Caenorhabditis elegans: one gene and its partner. The protein of the gene in region 2 interacts with the protein of the main gene of each other region in a pairwise test. Each region holds a gene or a part of one and is shown on either strand. Other genes may lie near its edges.

Evidence for each region. Proteins that work in one complex are often made in the same cells at the same time.
Region 1: the proteins of lov-1 (region 2) and stam-1 interact in a two-hybrid assay, tested with the Caenorhabditis elegans proteins (one study listed by BioGRID).

What each region holds. Positions count from the first base shown.
Region 1 is NC_003279.8:5,900,266-5,906,228, reverse strand, and holds stam-1 (Signal transducing adapter molecule 1), read left to right. Parts: upstream 1-1,533; 5' UTR 1,534-1,589; coding exon 1,590-1,595; intron 1,596-1,901; coding exon 1,902-2,009; intron 2,010-2,191; coding exon 2,192-2,383; intron 2,384-2,585; coding exon 2,586-2,783; intron 2,784-2,836; coding exon 2,837-3,087; intron 3,088-3,251; coding exon 3,252-3,684; coding exon of another isoform or gene 3,685-3,714; intron 3,715-3,781; coding exon 3,782-3,967; 3' UTR 3,968-4,124; downstream 4,125-5,963. Other genes in the region: tyr-4 (ShKT domain-containing protein), read right to left, coding at 4,195-4,619, 4,673-5,002, 5,370-5,704, 5,962-5,963.
Region 2 is NC_003280.10:10,117,355-10,124,994, reverse strand, and holds the start of lov-1 (Location of vulva defective 1), read left to right. Parts: upstream 1-3,169; coding exon 3,170-3,217; intron 3,218-3,265; coding exon 3,266-3,451; intron 3,452-3,499; coding exon 3,500-3,632; intron 3,633-3,893; coding exon 3,894-4,034; intron 4,035-4,079; coding exon 4,080-4,219; intron 4,220-4,264; coding exon 4,265-4,589; intron 4,590-4,817; coding exon 4,818-5,449; intron 5,450-5,500; coding exon 5,501-5,579; intron 5,580-5,733; coding exon 5,734-6,281; intron 6,282-6,326; coding exon 6,327-6,405; intron 6,406-6,454; coding exon 6,455-7,032; intron 7,033-7,081; coding exon 7,082-7,160; intron 7,161-7,640. Other genes in the region: F27E5.7 (DUF2147 domain-containing protein), read right to left, coding at 105-248, 357-494, 1,992-2,117. UniProt on the Caenorhabditis elegans protein: Required for two aspects of male mating behavior: response to hermaphrodite contact and vulva location. Acts in the same pathway as pkd-2 and atp-2 in response behavior. May be required for ciliary targeting of pkd-2.

The DNA.
Region 1 (5,963 bases), on a different chromosome or scaffold from region 2:
CGGTAATTTCAACAGCATATGAATAGTTTTTAATAATTTCCCCATTAGTCGTAGTCCACTTTTAACTTTAATTAATAATTAAAACCATTAAGGTTTAAAACCGAATTTCAAAAAAAAATTTCGATATAGAAGACTAAGAATAAAATATAACTTTAAAGAAAGAAGTTATGAAAGTTTTTGTGAGTAAAATGAGTACCAATGTGTATTTTGGGAGGCACGGGGTTGGTGATGAACATTATGTGTTGTATTACGCATGCCATAGACCAGTTTTGCGCGGATTGCATGATCAAGTCGATTGACTTTTCGTCTTTTTCGATTAAATTGATAACCGATCCAGAATAATACTTATATAATTTCATTGAATTACAAAATTCAAATGAGTTAGTAAAAAACTAGAACATTCAGTAAAATTTCAAAGCTATTTGCAAACCACAAACTTGAAATTTGAAAAAAATCAAACATGGAAACTCTAGACAGTGTACACAGGACAAATTACACTGATTAATCTATATCAACTCGCCAAGTTTACAAAATTTCGTCGAAAAACTGATAAGCACATGCAAAAATTCGTGTGAATTGGCTCTAGATAGAAAAATATGAATTGGCTCTAGATAGAAAAAATAACTAAATCGATAATGTTTCGTGTCGTTTTCGATGTATTTTTATGGCTCGCTATCGGCAGCAGCTACCGCTTGTGGCTGTTGTTGGGCCCCTTTTTGACGAATTAGGTGAAGAGAATCGAACGGAAATGAAAATTTATATGAACACAGAGTGGAAGAGTGGTGAGAGAGAGAGAAAAGAACGAAAAGCAGGTGGAATCAACAATGAAAGTGCAAACAATTGTGCTTATAAACAATTTGGATTTGGATTTTTTTTCAACAATTTTTAAAAATTCTATTACGATGAGAAGTAAGAAATATGAATGGAATAAATAGAAGTCTGAACAAATTTTTTTGAAAACGAAAAATTGAACATTTTGTTACGAAGCGTTTTCAGGTTCTAAAGTATTATTTTTTAGGAAAAAACATTAAAAACGTCCCAGTAATCTACTTTTAATAATTTTGAACTAATTATTGAGTAACATTTAGTTTTAAAAGTTTAGAAAAAGCATGGACACTGAAAATTAAAAAAAAACATGTTTAAACAGAGAAAAAAATTTGAAAGATTAAAGGAGCGCGCGATTTGTAGCATGAGGGTCTGCCACGAATTCTACAGTTGTTCAGATCATTTTTTTTGAATTATTCCACAATCTTTCTTCTCTTTGGAATTTAATTTTTCTCGAAAGTTATTTAATTTTTCTATAAAAATGTGCATTGCAGTTTTAAAATGTTTTTTTTTTCAATTAAACGCATGAATGTGATTGGTACACGCGTGAGACGCAAGTTCTCGAAAATCTGCGATTGCGAAAGGCAAAAGTATTCATTTTTTCGAAAAAATAAACAAATTGCTCAAACTAAATTGAATATCGATCGTCTTTGCCCTCAATATTTTAAATATCACGCTTTTGAAAATTATTTCGAAATAAATATTCAGTTTCAGTGAGACTCATTCAATTGAACCTGATCACGTGCTGAAAGTCTGCTGTAACAATGAAGGTTTGTTCGTTTTCCTATCTCTACTTTAATTAAAAATAGTGTTAAGAGTAATTGTTCATTCAAATAGATTTTTTTTCATTCAGTAAAAAATGATTAAGTTTTCGGAAAGGAAGAAAACAAAACAAAAACATAGAAAAAAGTGTGCACGAACGAACACACAAAGCATATGCGTCAGTGTCTTAACCCGTCTAATGTCTCTTCATCCCCCTACACTCTCTCTTTCAGTTCACCCGACTAACACATTCAACAAGCAAACCCGTTATTGATTCAATTTTCTTTCGTAATATTCCTTTTTTATATTTTCAGAAACAAAAGTCATTTCCAATGTCTGCTTATGAGGATTTGCTCGGAAAAATCACTGCTCCAACTATCACTGTTGAGAATTGGGAGGGAATTCTCGCATTTTGTGATATGGTTCGTTCAATTTGTTTTAAAAAATGTATAAACCTTTTCACTGATTTATAGATAGAATTCTTTGTCGTTTGATAAAAAATCATATTTTAAAATTAAAATTTCCTCCTTAAATTTGCTAGCTGATTTTCACCGAAAATCATTGATTTTGGACTAAACTTAATGTTTTAGTTTAAAATTTTCAGATTAATAACGACTTCGAGGGATCGAAAACAGGAATCAAATCACTTCGTAAACGTCTCAACAATCGTGATCCTCATGTTGTCCTTCTAGCGATTTCTGTACTTGATTCGTGTTGGGCAAACTGTGAAGAAAGATTCAGAAAGGAAGTATCGTCTGCACAATTTATCAATGAACTCAAAGCTCTTTGTACATCGGTGAGTTTTTGTTTAAATCTGAAATTGTTAAACAAAATATCAAAATTTCTTTCATGAAGTTTTGTATTTCTTTAATAGATATAGTATACGCAGAAAAGAGATAAAAAAGAGAAATAGAGTTAGAAAAATAAGTATAATACGAAAATACGATACATTTCACCGCGTTTACAAAAAAAAATACAAAAATTTACAATTATTATAGAGTCAACGCCAAGTTGCTGAAAAAATGCGATTAACTGTTCAAAAATGGGTGGATACAGAATGCAAAACTGAACAATCACTGTCACTTATCGTCACTCTTCACAAAAATCTTGTTGCTGATGGCTACTCATTTGTTGTGGATGATCCAAAAAGTAAAACGAAAGCGATTGATGCAAAGTTTGCAAATGATCCGAATTATGTGAGTTGTGGAAGTTCGCGGCAATAAATATCAAAAATTAATAATTATTATAGGTTGGATCTGCTCAGGAAGAAGAAGCAATCGCAAAAGCCATTGCTGCTTCATTGGCGGATGCAGAGAAACAGGAAAAAGCAAAAAAATCAACATCCACAATGTATCCATCAGCAAAAGCAAGTAGTCCAGCAGTTCAGACTAATTCGAATATTCCGGAAAAGAATGTTCGAGCGTTATACGATTTTGAGGCTGCTGAAAGCAATGAATTATCTTTTGTTGCTGGAGATATTATTACAATTACTGATGAAAGGTAAGCAACAAAAATGTGTTCTAGTTTAAATTGAAAGCAATCGCTTAAAAATCAAATCAGGAAGTTCTTCAGTTTTTTTTTTTGTAATTTAAAATTAATCATACCGAACCTTTTCGTTACTGACTGCTTCTATCAATTATCAAAAAAAAAACAATTTTTTGCAGCAATCCCCACTGGTGGACTGGTCGTATTGGTACCCAACAGGGACTTTTCCCATCCAGCTTCGTTACTAATCAACTCGATGATCTAAAATCAAAAGAGACGGATTCATCACAGAAAGCCCCAGAAGTTGTAGCCTCAATTAATGAAGCAATCCTTGTTCGTTGTCTTCAAGTACTCCATGAATGTGATCCTACCGGTGAACGACAGGATCCAGAGGATTTGGCCCAACTAGAAGCCGCCTCGTATGCTCAAGGAAATCTCATTGATGCACATTTGGCTAGTATTGATCGACAGAGCAACTCTCTAGCACAAATCGATGTGGCTATTCGTGATGTGCTCGCACTTTATGATGATGCGATTCAGAAGGGAGGATTTCAGCATCAAAGTCAAGGAATGTACCAACAACCAATGCAACAGTACAACTATCAGCAACCAGTCAGTTTTTATTCAGAAAAAAATATTTAGAAAACTGAAATTTTTCATTCTAAGCTTCACGGTAATGCCTATCAATTCAAAAAATCGTATTTTTCAGCCAAACCGAGCATATTACCCACCTACCGGTCCTGTCCAACAACAGCAGCCACAACAATATCCTCCACAACACTATCCGGCTCCTGGAGCACAACCACAGTACGCATGCCCACCGAATTCTGTTCCCCAACCTCAACAACAGCAACAACAATGGCCTGCTCCGTCTTCACAGCCTCAACAATATTAACTTTTTGATTTGTTGTGAATATCACCTTTTCCTCCTTGAATCTGTAACTAGTTCCATTGATATTGTGATCACTTCTAACTTATTTTTCTCGATTCGCCACCCGTTTCTGTATAGTCTTTTGCTTCCTCGAGTTCTCGATAAGATAAAAATGAATTCTTTATTGAGTTTGAGGCAAATATTTATTATACACGAAAATAATCGGATAAATTGAGAAAAGGTAACAAAAATTACAAGAGGTCCGGATCAAAAGATGGCATTGAAATTGATGCATTGGCTGCTCGAATGGATCGTTTACCCCATCCACCGCCTCCCCATCCACCTCCACCCCATCCACCTCTTCCACCACCCCATCTTGATCCTCCCCATGGATCATTGTTTCCCCATCCACCACCTCCATTTCCACCCCATCCTCCATTATCTCCGAAATCGTCACGTCCCCAACCTCCACGTGGTGGTTGACGAGATGGATTAGTCTGACGAACTTGTGCAACTGGAGCAACTGATCCAGCTGTAGTTCCACACATTCTACGAAGCTCTGATTGAGTATAGCAACTGTTACAGCTTGATCTACAATTCTCAGCCATCCATGGATTTTTCTGACATTCACCGACACGAGCCCATCCGGCACATGATCTATGGTAGTCGACGCATGCTGAAATATATATTTTTTAATTATAAAAATATTTTTTTAAAAATAAAGCTTACATCCATAATTGTAATCTTCAGGATAGCAATGTCCACATGAAACTCGACAATTACATGCCATATATCTTGTATTTTTTCGGCATTCTCCCATTAATCCCCATACAGCACAGCAAACATTCTCATTGAAACAACCATCAGAATTATCACACTGTTGAGCTGGAGCAGGTGTCGTCGTGGTTACTGTAGTACCACCTCCTCCACACTCTTGAGCACGTGATCTACCACATTTATTACAACTTTTACGGCAATTTTCAGTCATCCAGAGTTGATTTTTGGTGCATTCACCGGAGCGGGACCAGCTACTGCATTGGGTATGACGATCAGTGCAATCTGGAAAATTATCGTAATTTTGCAGTTTTTCGATACACGAACTTAGAGGTGCATGGGTTTATTTGGTTTTTATGGGGCTTGGAGGAACTTTTATTATTTTTGGTCAGTTTTTATTTGTTTCATTTATGTGAGAGTTTATATTTTTCAATTTTATCTTTCTAAACATGAACGGCGCCGGAAAAATCTAATAAAGATACCATAAACTTTTTCCCGGTGGGACCCTTTCAAATAACCCCATGTACCTTTAATTTTCTGAAATTGCCAAATTACAATAGCAAACTTTTTAAAAAGAATTTTACCGAAAAAACCCTTGTGGTAATTTAAATATTTTTTAATTAAAAAATCCTAAAATACAAAATACACTCACCATCAGCCAGTCGATATTTGGGTTTACAAACACCACAACTGGCCTTACACCATTCATTCATATAAGCCGTATTCCTCGAACATTCCCCAGATGCTGCCCATGATGCACAACACTGATTCTCATTGAAACATGATTCTTGAGATTGTACTGGATTTTGAGGTGTTGGAGTTGTTGGAGCAGGTGTTGGACGTGGAGCTGTTGATGAGAGAACACATACACCGTTTTGGCAGATTCCTGAGAAACATGGATTCACACGGAATTGACCACATTGAGATCCTGGACGAATACGAGATACACAACGGGCGGCCCCGGTGGAAGTGTCACAGAAAAGGAATCTGAAATTTACAAATTCCAGTAAGTCTTCCACGGTAGACATCAAGAATATTCCAAATTTTTAGTGTGTGAAAATGTATCATCAAAAATGATCTTATATCTTGTACGACAATCTTTCAAGTTTCACATGAATTTTTTATCTTGAAAGTTTTTGATTCTAAAAAAATTAAACCCTGCCAAAAAATAGCATAGCTGTAATTTTTCAAATATTTGCGTAACATTTCCTAGGTTATTCTGATAATTTTCAAAAAAGTCTCACTT
Region 2 (7,640 bases):
GGTCGGTCATTTCATTGACCACCACAGTCAAAAAAAGAGAATGGAATTGAAATAGGCTATTTATATACATACAAATGATGAGAATATTCAAAAGACAACAAAAGTTATTCAATTATCAGCTTTTTATCTCCCTTTTCCTCAGGAAATTTCATATAGTCTCCAAGAACATGAAGACCCATTTTTTCGATTATGAAAGCTTCGCCAGATAATCGGTCAGTTGTTGGAGCATCCTCGATTGGTTTCTCATTCTGGAAATGGACAACAATTAATTTAAGATCCAAAGTGTTTGACTTCAAAATCATTCAAAGTTTATGACAAAAAATTATGTTAGCCTCCATTGCGTGTGTGTAAAGTACCTCGTCTAACCAAATTCCACAGGTTTCAGTGCGATTCTCCTTACAAAAGTAGAATAACTGAATTGGTGGTTTTCCTGCGTCGAGCTCTCTTCTCACACCCTCTGCATTCTTCCAGTTTTGCTTCCATTCACATTTAGTCTAAAATATGCGCATTTATTTGTATTAAATTCAGAGCTTTCTTACAAAGATTCACTTATACAGTGTGAGAAAGTTCTATAGGACCCCCCTCATTTTTGACGTTTCACCTATATTGAAAATTTTTTTTGAAAAATTTTTTCCGTAGATTGATTCAAAATGTCAAAATATGTGGACACAAAAATTTTCAGACTTGTACCTCTAAAACTGGCTGCGTACGGAAAAAAGTTGGAAAATCAGGTGTGCAACTTCTATAGGACCCCCTCATATTTTTGACGATTTCACCGGAAAAAAATAGTTTTTGAAGTTAATATCACGTAAATAGTTATGAAAATGAGAATAAACACAGTTTCAAGCAATTTCATATTGGCACTTGGTGGTTGACCCACAACTGTCCTCTAACAGTCCTGTAACAGAAGTTTCCACGTGTCATCTGCCCTATCACTACCAAACTTTACAAAATGATACATGACACTGTTCTAACAACATCCCTAAGTTTTTGGAAAAATCCGAAAAGTTTGAGCCCCGCTGCACCGCTGAAACCGTACATGGGCCTCATTTTTCAGGCCGTTTCTCCGTTTCAGTGTGTATAACTCGGGTCCCGGTGAACCCCCGACATTGAAAATTGTTCAATGAACTCTCACAATCATTGTGAGTGTATCTGTGATTAGCAATAAGGATTTACCAGCCTCTGAGTTGAACCAGAATAAAATTGTCAATAGAGCAAGTTTTCTGTACTAATAATGATGTTATTATGCATAATTTCATAGACTCAGGGTAAAAGTAAATTTTTAGAACATTGCAACCACGAAATCGTGACCATTTTTTTGTGGATGCTAGCGTAATGTTCATACGAGTTTATTGAACAGTTTTCAAAGTCGGGGGTTCACCGTGACCCGAGTTATACACACTGAAACGGAGAAACGGCCTGAAAAATGAGGCCCATGTACGGTTTCAGCGGTGCAGCGGGGCTCAAACTTTTCGGATTTTTCCAAAAACTTAGGGATGTTGTTAGAACAGTGTCATGTATCATTTTGTAAAGTTTGGTAGTGATAGGGCAGATGACACGTGGAAACTTCTGTTACAGGACTGTTAGAGGACAGTTGTGGGTCAACCACCAAGTGCCAATATGAAATTGCTTGAAACTGTGTTTATTCTCATTTTCATAACTATTTACGTGATATTAACTTCAAAAACTATTTTTTTCCGGTGAAATCGTCAAAAATATGAGGGGGTCCTATAGAAGTTGCACACCTGATTTTCCAACTTTTTTCCGTACGCAGCCAGTTTTAGAGGTACAAGTCTGAAAATTTTTGTGTCCACATATTTTGACATTTTGAATCAATCTACGGAAAAAATTTTTCAAAAAAAATTTTCAATATAGGTGAAACGTCAAAAATGAGGGGGGTCCTATAGAACTTTCTCACACTGTATAATGTCTAGTTTTAATAATTTTGTTTTTTTTGACAAAAGGAATTTTTTGAATTGGGATAAACTTACATCCTGTAAAATACTGCACACAACTGTATTTTCTGGTAGTCGAAAATCGGAAAATGGTATTGAAAAGCCAACAAGACTAGCAAAAGTAGAAATAAATAATATAGAAATGCGAGAGATTCGACTCATTTTCAGAATGTCGAGACTTGTCAAATGTCAAATTGTGTGAGAGAATTCGAAGAATAAGTGATAAAAGAGGAGAAAAAGAAAAAGACAAATGATAGAGGGGTGTAATGCGTAATACTGTCTAAAAATATCTTAACATCACGAAAAAGAATAAGGGAGGAGAACATAAAGTGACGAGATAGAGAGATATTTTTTGTATTTTATTATCTCTTTATCGGCATATTCCGTTCATCAAACACACAATTATCGGATACCAACTTGATTTGAACATTTCATTGAGTCATTCATAATCACAATCTATAGACTTTGAACTAACAAGGAAATGGGAAACAATCGAATACTGTAAAATTGTCAGACGAAATTATTGTTATTTCTATCTGAATTGTGCAAAGTTGAAAAAAATCCCACTGTTCTCATCATTGTGCCAAAGTTTCGTTTTGAAATAGTAATATTAATTGGGAGCTACACTGAAACTGGATTTTCAGTAAAAATTTTGAACAGCGAGTGTCGATTTTTTATGTTTATAATATTCAGCTATCAATTAATAAATCTGTAGTTTTAAAAAAAATTGGGTGTTTGGTTTGGAAGAAAATAATTTTTTTGGAAATTGAAAAATATATTAATTGGGAGCTAAACTAAAACTGGAATTTCAGTCAAATTTTGAACGGTGAGTACCGATTTTGTGTGGTTATATTTTTATCCAGACATTAATAAGTAAATTTGTAAAGTTTAAAAAATTGGGTGTTTGGTTTGGAAGAATTTTTTTATTCAAAAATTTTTATTTCAATTTATTATTCAAATTTCATTAATAAATTTCTTTACAATACAGCTTTCTTTCCCAATTTCTAAATCCTCGTCAGTTTTTCAAAAACTTCAAAATTTCCATGGAAATTGTGGGCCGTTAACGTATCCCAGCGATGGTCCTTCGATTCAGCCCGCCTTTTCGCTTTTCGACAACTTCATTTTTCAGTTGTTGTCTTTTCTGCTCTGAATTCATTTTTGTTTTCAGGCGAATTTTTACAAAACTTCTACAAGATAACCTTCCAGCTCATTGGATGAAGAAGTCAAACTTCTTTGTTCTATTGCTACTGGCAATATCGGCGGTGAGTGAAAAATCTCAGAAGGAAAAGCTGAATAAAACTACTTTTAAGATACAAATTGATGGATTGCATTACCAACTTCTTGACGGGATCGCAACTTTTCGATTAGACAACGATGACACAACAATTGGAGGAGTTCCAAGGAATTCACAAGGAGTCGTTAAAATCAAATTGAGCTGCGGATTGAATAGACTTTCAGTTGAGAACAAGGTTACGGAAGTTTCAAGTTTGGAATTGGTTAGTCGTGTATTTTTTTAGTTGTAAAACCTTGTTGTTCCTATTCAGATTCACAACTGCATCCAAACAGAGACCAGGCTTGTCGGACTCTTTTTGAACTCAACTTGGATTACTTTGAATGAAGTGAATGATGACGATGAGATCAGTATTGCTGTGGAGGCGAAATATGAAGTTTGTTATGGTAAGGATTATTATTTGGGGAAGGTTTTGTGCGTACCTATGTATAATGTCGGCGTTACTCACCTGGAAGACCTATGCCAACAAAGTCTTGACTTGGTTTGTGCCGATTAATCTTCTTTGCAAGGTACTCAAGTAGATACTCAGGTAGACACATAGGTAGGCTATGAGATAGGCATGAATTGCGCATTCTGAATCTGGTGAAACGTTATTTGCATATGTAGTGCTATGTGTTTCTAACATTTTAATAGAAACTCTTTCTCAGATGACGGTATCGACAGATGTGATGGCTCCCTATGGTGGCTCCAAGTCGGTGGAAACGAGATGGCGTTGCTGGGCTACCGAGAGAAGTGTGAGAGCGGAGAGATCAACGAAGAGTATGCGAGAAGAATGTGCAAGCGACCTTGTCAGTTCTTAATTGCTCATGAACATTGGCTAAACAGTATTTCAGATCGTTCTGAAAAGAGCACAGCTATCAGTGATAGTCAAGGAGTGTATTATGATGGGCAGGTACTTAAGGGTGTCAGGGCAAAACAGTTTAGCATGAGGACTTCTGGATCACCTACTTTGAGAAGAATGAAACGAGACGCTGTGAGTACGATTTCTCAGATAGTGTTTACTTTCATTTTATTCCAGGGTGATAATACTTGCGACTACACTATTGAGTCAACTTCAACCTCGACTACAACTCCAACTACCACAACCGTGACTAGTACCGTGACATCTACAACAACCGTCCCAACAAGTACAAGTACGGTGACTACCGCAATGAGCACAAGCACATCAACTCCATCAACATCCACCACCATCGAATCCACGTCAACAACGTTCACTTCCACAGCATCCACGTCGACATCATCAACTAGCACAACTCAGCAGAGTTCTAGCACAATCACAAGCTCGCCGAGCTCCACCACACTGAGTACAAGTATTCCAACCACTACAACACCCGAAATCACATGTGAGTTTCGGACGCACAATAATAATTACAAGCAAACCAGAATTTGCTGTTATGATTGAGAGGCAGGAATAAAATTGTTAATAATTTTCTTCAAACCCGTTTGTATTGCCAATATTTCAGATTTTATACAATTACAGTTTGCTCAGGGTAAAACAAAGCAGTCACTATTACCGATCACCTTGTTGTGCATTGTTAGTTATCCAGAAAATCCTTAACGAAAATTTTCAGCAACTTTGTCGTCTCTCCCGGATAATGCGATTTGCTCCTACCTTGACGAGACCACTACGTCTACCACTTTCACCACCACTATGTTGACATCCACTACTACCGAAGAACCATCTACTTCCACAACCACAACAGAAGTTACATCTACATCTTCTACTGTTACAACAACTGAACCAACCACTACTTTGACCACCTCGACTGCTTCAACGTCAACAACCGAACCATCGACGAGTACTGTAACTACTTCCCCGTCAACATCCCCTGTGACTTCTACGGTGACATCTAGTTCAAGCTCCTCGACTACTGTAACGACCCCAACAAGCACTGAGTCCACATCGACATCTCCTTCGTCTACAGTAACAACCAGCACAACTGCTCCTTCAACATCAACTACTGGGCCATCGAGTTCTTCTTCCACTCCAAGTTCAACGGCTTCTTCGTCTGTGTCAAGCACCGCTTCTTCTACTCAATCATCCACGTCTACTCAGCAAAGTTCAACAACAACAAAATCTGAGACAACTACTAGCTCGGACGGAACTAATCCAGACTTCTATTTTGTAGAAAAGGCAACTACAACGTTCTATGATTCCACAAGTGTGAACCTAACGCTTAATTCCGGCCTCGGAATCATTGGAGTAAGTACAATATTGAAGACTGCATTATTCAAATGTAACACTGTATTTCAGTATCAAACATCCATCGAATGTACAAGCCCTACATCTTCTAATTATGTTTCAACCACTAAAGACGGAGCATGTTTCACGAGTAATTGTTTATAAAGACTTATTATAAATTAGAGACAGGCAAAATCTTTAATTCTGAAAACGTTTCTATAAAAACTTCAAATCGGAAAAAAAGCAAACCTTTTTCGGGCGATAGTTATTTAGATTTTTTACACATATTTTTTCAATATATTCAGAAAGTGTATCAATGCCACGTCTCGGAGGGACGTACCCTGCTAGCACATTCGTTGGTCCTGGAAACTACACCTTCAGAGCAACTATGACAACCGACGATAAAAAAGTTTACTACACGTATGCGAACGTTTATATTCAGGAATATTCTTCCACCACCATAGAGTCGGAATCTTCTACATCTGCTGTAGCAAGCTCTACGTCATCTACACCATCAACTCCATCTTCCACATTATCAACATCCACAGTCACAGAGCCGTCATCCACACGTTCAAGCGATTCTACGACAACGTCGGCTGGGAGCACAACTACTTTACAAGAATCCACAACAACTTCCGAAGAAAGTACTACTGATTCCAGTACAACTACCATCTCGGACACATCCACAACTTCTTCCAGTCCGAGTTCTACCACTGCTGATTCAACTTCCACTTTGTCAGTCGATCAGTTCGATTTCATCTTGGACAGTGGATTGTCATGGAACGAGACACGTCACAATGAAGACAGCATCAACATTGTACCTTTACCAACTAATGCCATTACTCCTACTGAGGCGGGTTTAATAAATCGTTGAGCCAAATGAAACGAATGATTTTAGAGAAGCCAAACATTTGAATGCAGAAATGTGTCTACTGAGCCTTTTCTTATAATTAAGGAATCCACTTGCTTAAACTACTGTAGGATTAACAAACTTTTTGAAATTATTGAATTAAAGCGAATTTCCAGCAAACACGGTCCTAAACGCAACTTATTCTTCTAATATTCCAATTCAACCAATTGAAACATTTCTTGTTGGCATTGGCACCTATGAGTTTCGAATCAACATGACGGATTTGACGACAATGCAAGTGGTCAGCCACATTTTCACATTGAATGTTGTTGCGGATTCAACAAGTACATCCGAAGTTACCAGTACAACTTCAACTGGATCTTCTTCCGAAAGTTCAGCCATTTCCACAACTTCAGGAATTGAATCTACGTCGACTTTGGAAGCTAGCACGACTGATGCTTCACAAGACAGTTCTACATCAACATCGGATTCTGGCACAACTTCAGATTCCACCACCATAGACTCATCTAACTCAACTCCATCCACTTCAGATTCATCTGGTTTATCTCAAACACCATCCGATTCATCAAGTGCATCTGATAGCATGAGAACAACAACTGTGGATCCAGACGCAAGTACAGAAACCCCTTACGACTTTGTATTGGAAAATTTGACATGGAACGAGACAGTGTATTACTCTGAAAATCCATTTTATATTACACCAATTCCAAACAAAGAGCCCGGAGCTTTAACGGTAAGATATTCAAATCAATCTTACTTAAAAAAAACCTTAATATTTTAAGACTGCTATGACCTGTCAATGTCGAAACGATTCTTCTCAGCCATTTGTTTTACTGAAGGAAAGCAATTGCTTGACAGAGTGTGAGATTTTGCCTACTAGGGAGTGCTTTTTGTACTCCATGGAAATATGAGTCGGAAAACTACTTTTCCGGTAGTTGATATCATTTTCTACACGATTCTGAAAGAAAATCCTGCCGGTTTTGGGTTTTAGTGTGAAAAGTTTGCGTTTGAAAATACCACCCTAAATTCAGTTGATTTAACACTACGCGACCCATATTTCATGTGCAACGGGAAAGCCAAGTACACTGAAAACTGGCGCCGCTCCCGCCGTTATCCACTGGACCACCGAAATTATGACTTTGCTTTGAAAATTTGAAAGTGAGTTTTCAGTGTACTTGGCTTTCCCGTTGCACATGAAATATGGGTCGCGTAGTGTTAAATCAACTGAATTTAGGGTGGTATTTTCAAACGCAAACTTTTCACACTAAAACCCAAAACCGGCAGGATTTTCTTTCAGAATCGTGTAGAAAATGACATAAACTACCCGAAAAGTAGTTTTCC